Macaca mulatta: one gene and its partner. The protein of the gene in region 2 interacts with the protein of the main gene of each other region in a pairwise test. Links are inferred from orthologs where the notes say so. Each region holds a gene or a part of one and is shown on either strand. Other genes may lie near its edges.

The links.
Region 1: the proteins of FHL2 (region 2) and GNG12 interact in binary tests that used the Homo sapiens proteins (3 or more experiments, as listed by UniProt). The link is inferred for Macaca mulatta from reciprocal best matches to the Homo sapiens genes FHL2 and GNG12.

The regions. Positions count from the first base shown.
Region 1 is NC_133406.1:172,775,932-172,780,163, forward strand, and holds the start of GNG12 (guanine nucleotide-binding protein G(I)/G(S)/G(O) subunit gamma-12), read left to right. Parts: upstream 1-1,390; 5' UTR 1,391-1,505; intron 1,506-2,568; exon of another isoform or gene 2,569-3,027; intron 3,028-4,232. UniProt on the Homo sapiens protein: Guanine nucleotide-binding proteins (G proteins) are involved as a modulator or transducer in various transmembrane signaling systems.
Region 2 is NC_133418.1:13,468,938-13,472,578, forward strand, and holds part of FHL2 (four and a half LIM domains protein 2), read right to left. Parts: intron 3,326-3,641; coding exon 3,156-3,325; intron 1-3,155. UniProt on the Homo sapiens protein: May function as a molecular transmitter linking various signaling pathways to transcriptional regulation. Negatively regulates the transcriptional repressor E4F1 and may function in cell growth.

The sequences.
Region 1 (4,232 bases), on a different chromosome or scaffold from region 2:
TGGTCTGTGGCCAAAAAATACAAACTCCAGTATGCCACCCTCTCAGTCCCTGTGGTGTCATGCTGTTCTGTTTCAGATGTATCATTTGAACTGTTAGTACCTGTGAATCAGTCAAGCATTTCCTAATGCTGAACAGAACAGGAAATAAAGACCTCTCTGGTAGCCTGTGACTTGCACCCCCAAAACCACCCTCATCTGCAGCTTGCTAAGATCACACCCCTGGGGCAAGGCATGCATTCATACACCGACTCTACCTGTGACACCTCTTCTACATGTGCAAATCATTTCACTAAGCCTGATACTTGCTTAGGGGTCAGAAGGAAAGCAAGAGGGAATATAATGCCCTGACTGCAGTCCCTAGTTTCCAGATTCCCCAGGGCCCACTTGTCCTCAGTTGGTGAAACTCAATACACAGACATCCCTCACCAATGCTTTCAGACTCCATTTCAAGTGCGGACTCTGCCCACACTGGTTCTAAGTGACCTACTTTGGCCTCACCTCTTTTCTCTCCACCCTGTCAAACAAGAAAGCGGTTACCTAGGAATATTCCAGAAGTCCGCTGAGTGGTTTTCTGAACATTCAGCTTCTTTACTCTTTCTGGACTCCAAGAAGGCAAGCCCCCTGTCTGATTCATCCTTGTACCTCTCCCATCACCTTTAGCATCGCGCTTGGTACACAGCGGGTGCTCGGTAATGTTTGTCGAATGGCCCAAGGAATAGTACGAAATCTGTGGAAGCAGAAATGGCTCCTCCATTTACCCGACCTTGAACCATTCCAGAAAAGACCAACCAAATCCGATTAATTCATTGGGCAGAACTCTGCCAGGTACTGGACATTCGGAAACAAATTTCAGGGGGTTGGGGTAGATGAACGGGAAGCTAATGGTGGGTGGATGTACTACAAATTCAATAATCCGCAGTTATACCTCCACTTTCTGTGAAACGTCTCTCCGTGGCCCCAGGGCCCTTTAAATGTTACTGTGAGTGTTTTCCTCCATAGTGTCTGGGGCAGAGCCAAACTTTTGTGTAGGGGTTTGGCAGCGCTCATCCTCACAGCCCTGGGGACGGCTGGCACAGGGGCTGGCGAGGCGTTCGCACGCGAAGGAAACTTGCGAGGCGTCAGGGCGGCCCCGCGGAGGAGCGGGTCGTAGAGTGGAAGCCCTCAACTCCTAGAACTTCAGGTCCTCCATGAGAATAAGGGGAAGGGGGATGGCCAAAGACGGCCAGACGTCCACCGAGCTTTCCCAGGCCAGGCCTCTCCCCTCCTCCAGCCGGGCCACAACGCGGGCTCCGCGGCCCGGGGCAACATAGCCAGGGTGTCTGGGCGGGAGGCAGGGCCCGGCGCGGAGGAAGGAGCCTGGGGCCGCCGCCGCCCCGCCCACCCCAGCGAGGCGGAGCCGGCGCCTGGAGGAGCAGGAGGAGGAGGAGGAGAGGTCGGAGCCGTCTCCAGGAGCCCTTAGAGACCGAGTCCCGGCGGCGACGGCGGGGCAGCGCACCAGCAGGCGGGTGAGTACCAAGCGGCGGGCGCGGGTGGTGAGTCGGGTCCCCGCGGGGTCCGGGCGCGGCGCGGGGCGTCGGCCAGCGAGTTCGGGGGCCGCCTCCGAGTCCCGGGTGCTGGGAAGCGAGATGGAGGGAGGGAGCAGAGGAAGGAAGGAAGGAGGGAAGAGTGTCCTGTAGGGCGGGGACTGGTCGGGGCGCTGGGCGCCGGAGACCGGGGAGAGGCGGAGGAAGGGGGCAAGGGACACCCAGACCCAGAGGCAGAAACCGCGCGGTCGCCCTCGACGGGCGGCAACCCGAGGTCGCGGGGAGCCGGTGCCCCCACGGCTGGGGCTGGGGCTAGGCTAGGGGTGGAAGGAAAGGTCTCCCCGCGAGCTCGCTTGCCTCCTCGCCAGCCTGCGGCCGTGCGCCCCGCGCCCGATTGGGAGGCCCCCAGTGTTCCCAGCCCTGGCTTGTGGTGGTGCCAGGCGTTGGAGGAGGGCTGGAATCTGGGGGCGACAGAGACGCCACGCCCCTCTGCCTGCTTTCTACCTCCCGGGACCAGCCGGCGGGAGCGCAGCGTTGGAATCCACTGGGCGCTGGGGGTCTAGCAGGGAAATAGCGGGTCGCAGAGGGGAGAGCCCATATGACGCACCCTGCGAGGGACCCCCGAGTGGGGTCCCTAGGTTGCCCTTCTGCAGACTATATTTGCAGGTGATAAGGGGGAGGTTGAGGCTCAGTCTTGCGTGATTTTTTCTTAAAAAAATTATTGCCCCGACAGTTATCCCGTGGGTCAGGGTGACTTCTGTTTTTCATTGTAATTAGGGCGTATCAATAAAAGCTAACTTTAAAACCCTGTCAGCGCCTGCCGTCACTCACTCGTCCCTCGCTTTGTGTGTACTGTAAACTTGGCTTAAATCATTCATAACTCACGGTAAGGAAGCCGTGATTCTTGTTCACGTCGCCGCGGTGGAGTGAAACTTTGCCCAGCTGGGGCTGAGTGGAGGCACTGCCGCGGCCGGTCATCTGGTGGTCATCCTGCCGGGCGTGGTTGTATACAAACAAGTGGGTAGAGAAGGAAATCTCTGAACGCCAGAGGTAGAAGGGAGGTTCCTGCGCCCACGTGTCAGGGCGCGTTTAATGGCTGCTCCCAGCGGAAACAAACGGGAATTTATTAGACCATGTGGAGTTGGACAAACTTCACATGATTAGCTTCCTTCCCATCAGTTACTTCCTCTCCCCCCCTGCTGTCTTTGCCGACACAGTTTATATTTCCTGGGGCGGTTGTAGCTTCGCCTGAATAGGCTGTCTATAATGAATCTTTTGGATGTCGTCAGAGGCAGGGTCTGCGTCTGTGCCTTCTCTATTTTAAAAGCGGAGTTTGGCTTTGTTTTTAAAAGTGCTAGTCACCAGACTGCACCCTTGCCAGCGCTTCTCAGCTCTCAAAGTAAATTATCGCAGGATGGCGGCCCTCACCTAGGAGAACCAGGAAGGCAGGCAGCGCTAGAACGACGGGATTGAATTTTACTATTGCCAAAACAATCACATTCAAGTAAGGAGCTGTTTTGTTTTGTTTTTGTTTTTTTTTTTAACCCAATTATATGTACTAGCAAGCCCCTTTTCTAGTAAACTAACATGATTCACACACACAATTTTTAAAGTAATCAAACATTTTACAGAGTCTTAAGTGATAAAAGGACTTTCAGATAAAATGTTCAGTCCCTTTGCCTTCTCTAATAGTTAACCAGCGCCGTAAAGCCCTGGTTTAAATCCAAAAAATGCTTAAAAGTCTACTGCGTCGTTAGACCTTATAAATAATGCAGTCCTATTTTTGCTGTATTTAACTCACGTAATTTACTAGATATCGAACACCCAACAGGGCACACAGCACTGAGATTTGTGTAGAAATATATGAAAATGTGAATCTGTGTTTCACAAGAGCCTGAAAAAAATAGTATTATAAAAATTTCCTGTCCAGAAAGCTCCAATCTTACTTGAAAGCTCTCTAACAATTAGATTTGTGGATTTGTGTTGTCACTTGTTAGAGAATATCGGTGGTTTATTAAAGTGTGAGAGCAAAGGGCTTCATGGTCAGAACACTCGAGGAAGTGGTTAGCCAATATCAGATTAGTTTTTTTTTTAATTGTTGAAAACTTCTGTCTAGCAGGAAAAAAAATCAAATTTAGAATTAAGTGATTTATTGTGTTTTGCTTTAATTTGGAGTTTTATGTCAGCTTAAGCTTAACCTAGAAAGGCAAGTTGTGAAAGTCAAGTAAATTTTTCTGAGCCCTAACTTGGAAGAGAAGCTTGTTTAACAGTGATTTGGGGTGTTGGCTTTGGAGTCAGACAGACTTAGATGAAAATATTAGCTATTTAACCTTTTCAGTCTGATTTATAAGATGGGGATAATAATGGTCTCTATCTGTAGGGCTTTAAAGTATGTGAAACAGTCTTTGGAAAACACTTAAACTGGACTTAACACACAGTACATGGTCAAAATTATTAGATATTAATCTAGCTTGTTCAAGCAGCAGGCTACTGGATAAATTGCAAGGTGGTAGCTTGAACCTTCCGAAAATGCTAGATAGAGCAATTTCAAATTCCACAGAAGTAACTGGTATGTGTGTGTGTGTGATGTTTCTACCACAACAATATGAATAATTATGATTAAAGGATTAATAGTTTTAATATGCTTTTAGTGCCAAAGTTACAGTTGCATAGTAATTTTGACAGAAACATTGCATTATCCTTTACATT
Region 2 (3,641 bases):
CCAGATGCCTTCATTCTCACCCGTCTTGTGGTCTCAGAACATCTGTGAGGTGAAGCTGCAAAGCCACACAAGGTGGAACGGCCATCAGTACCTCAATTTTACCTGGTATTTTTCTCCAAATGTTGCATCTCACATTCTGTTTACAAATGCGTGCTTGGTGGAGCTGAGTAAGCTATCAAAGGAGTGTAGGTGGCCTCAGCTTGGCAAACGAAGGCCATGGAAGATGGAGTGCAAGCACCTCACAGTCACGCTTTTTTGCTTTTTATTTTTTGAACATTTCAGTATCATCCCGTAATTCCTTTGGTCTTTACATAAAGCTTGTGAAGTAAGAAAGATACTAATTTTATGGGTGAGTAAACTGAGACTCAGAGAAATTAAAAAGTGACTTGCTGAAGAATTCATAGCTGGTTAATGACAAAGCAGGAGCTAGAATTCCAGACTCCCTTCTATCTTGTATTCTTTTCATTAAACCATGAATCATAAAGCATCTTCCTATAACCCACCCCACCGCACAACAGAATGAACACAAAACACGCTTGGTTGCAACGCATCCGTATGCATCAGTAGCCTGTGTGTGTAAGACGTCTCCTCTGCCTGCAACATATGTCCTCAGTCCTCCCTCACTCCGGATTCCATGCTTCCCACCCACATCAGCTAACTCGATGCCTCTCAGCATAGCATGATTTTCTCAGAGACTCCCTCCCTAAACGCCACCCTGGCCCCCGACTCCTCAGATGAGTTGAGGTCCCTCCATTCCACACTCTGCCTTTCTCCTCCACAGCACACTGCTTAGTAACGACTGACGGGTTTGACACTGGAGTGTACTTCCAGCTAGACTGCAGTTAAGTGTCTGCATCTTGTCCAGCATCGGATCCCCAGTGCCTGAGAGGGCCAAGTTCATGTCGAGGAATGGATGCTTCTGGCGTGAAGGTTTTTGTGTGTATTTAACGAACATGTGCACAAAAGGCATGCATCCCAGAAGGATGTGTTGCTTTCATTTCCGCAAATGAATAAAGCACACACTGGAAAGATGACAGAGGAAGAGCAATTCAGATGAACTTCTGTTAGGTCTTGATGAGAAAAACAAACCAAAATGAAAATAAAATGGGGAGAGAACAGGGAAGAGAGTTCCTAAAATAAAAGCAAGAATGAGACCTCAATCTAAGAATAAAGAAAAAAACAGGAGTTCGTGACCAGTCTGGCCAACAAGGTGAGACACCATCTCTACTAAAAAACACACACACACACACACACAAAAATTAGGTGGGTGTGGTGGTGGCGCCTGCCTGTAATCCCAGCTACTCAGGAGCCTGAGTAGCTACTCAAGAGCCTGAGGCAGGAGAATCGCTTGAACCCGGAAGGCAAAGGTTGCAGTGAGTTGAGATCATGCCACTGTACTACAGCGCAGGTGACAGAGTGAAACTGTCTCAAAAAAAAAAAAAAAAAAAAAAAAAAAAAAAAAAAACAAGCATAAATGGAGAGGAAATTAAGAGAAATAAAATCTAAAATAACAGTAAAGAACAAAAGGGGCTGGGTGCAGTGGAGGCGGAGGCAGATCGATCACCTGAGGTCAGGAGTTCCGAGATCAGCCTGGCCCACATGTTGAAACCCCGTGTTTTCTAAAAATACAAAAAAGTCGGCCAGGCATGGTGACGTTTGCCTGTAATCCCATCTACTTGGAAGGCTGAGGCAAAAGAAATCGCTTGAACTGGAGAGGCAGAAGCTGCAATGAGCCAAGATCGTGCCACCGTACTCCAGCCTGGGTGACAGTGTGAGATTCTGTCTCAAAAAAAAAAAAAAAAAAAAAAAATGGAAACGAGAGAAAGGCTGAATGGAAATTGGTAAGAATACTCAGCACTTAGAAAAGGTGCAGGCAAGGGGGACATTCTTGCCCAGGCCAGCCAGGTACAGGTAGAGGCACTGGGATGTTTCTCCATGGCCAAGAGGCAAGGGTAGAGGCCCCAAGGGCAACACAGCAGAAGCTGGGTAAGCAGGGTCAATGAGAGGATGAGAGCAAACAGAACCTGCAATGAGTTCCACAGCTGGCATTGCCCAGGGCGAGTGAGCCGTGGGAGGGTGCCACTCAACAGGCTGATGCAAAGCCTAACAGCACAGAGACGCTGGAAGCTACAGCATAATCAGAGTTGCGTGTGTGTGAGAGTCAGAGGGCACAGCAGAAAACCAAGCTCCACCCTGACGGGCACAGGTCGGGGGGCAACTGGGCAGAGAGTTGGCTTCCTACAGATAGGCAGTTCCCTTTCTTTCTTTAACCCTAACAGAGCCATGACTGGAACAGATCGAGTAGTTAAGTTTATTTATTTTTATTTTTTTAATTTTTTGAGATGGAGTCTTGCTCTGTCACCCAGGCTGGAGTGCAGTGGTGTGATCTTGGCTCTCTACAACCTCCACCTCCCAGGTTCAAGCAATTCTCCTGCCTCAGCCTCCCGAGTAGCTGGGATTACAGGGGTGCACCACCATGCCCAGCTAAGCTGTGTATTTTTAGTAGAGATGGAGTTTCACCATGTTGCCCAGGCTGGTCTTGAACTCCTGACCTAAGGTAATCCACCAGCCTTGGCCTCCCACAGGTGATCCACTAGCCTTGGCCTCCCACAGTGCTGGGATTACAGGCGTGAGCCTCCTTGCCTGGCCAGAGTAGATACATTTGATAAATGATCTGTCCCATATCCACGGGGGCAGACTTTTCTCCTTTACTTTTCTTCTCACATCCCGTCTCTCTCTCCTCCCTGCTCCCTCCCTTCCTCTCCCCCTCTTCCTTCCATCTTTCTCTCCCTCTCAAGTTTGCAGTTGTTTTCTTGGTTTATTCATGGAGAGAAGCTGAACAAGACAGCTTTGGGATAGTGGCTCCCCTTCCCTCTAACATCAGGTCATCGACATAAGAATATATTTAGAATGGTCTAGAAGAAGGCAGGGTTAAGCGATTTGATCACAGGAGCTCAACAGCGTTGATGTTTTTGAAAGAAGGATGGGCGCCCAGACCCAATGGATAAAGCTCGGCATGTAAGGCAGGACAGGCACAGCTCCCACGCCATTCCAGTATCACAGGTATCCTTGTTTTTGGAAAGAGAACTGACAGACATGGACCATGGAGGCAAACCGGCCAGGATGTGCAAGGGCCAAGGGGGAATCTGAAATACCTTTTTGCACTGAACGCACTGCATGGCATGTTGTTTCTCATAGCAGGGCACACAGAAATTCTGATTGTCTTTGGGGATGAAACTCTTGGTTCCAATTGGCTGCTGGCAGCGGTGGCAGATGAAGCAGGTCTCATGCCAGCTGCTGCCCTTGTACTCCATCTTGCGGGTACCTGTCATCAGGGTCAAGAGGAACACAGCAGAGTTATGCTTAGAGGGGCGTGGAGTCCCAGCAATTGCCTTCAGAGCTTGCCACCCTCTAGTTTTATGACCAGAGCAAGTCACTTCAGCTCTTGAAGGCTCACCTCTAAATGGAGGTAATTCCTATTTTGTGCAGGGCATGGACTTTGTCTTTTGGTTCACTACTGTACACCCAGCTCCTAGAACAACACGTGTACATTTTAGGTACTTAACATTTATTTATTGAAAACCGTGGTTAAGAATGTTAAATCTAAAAAAAGTTAAGTCTGCCTCAGCAATGCAAAGTAT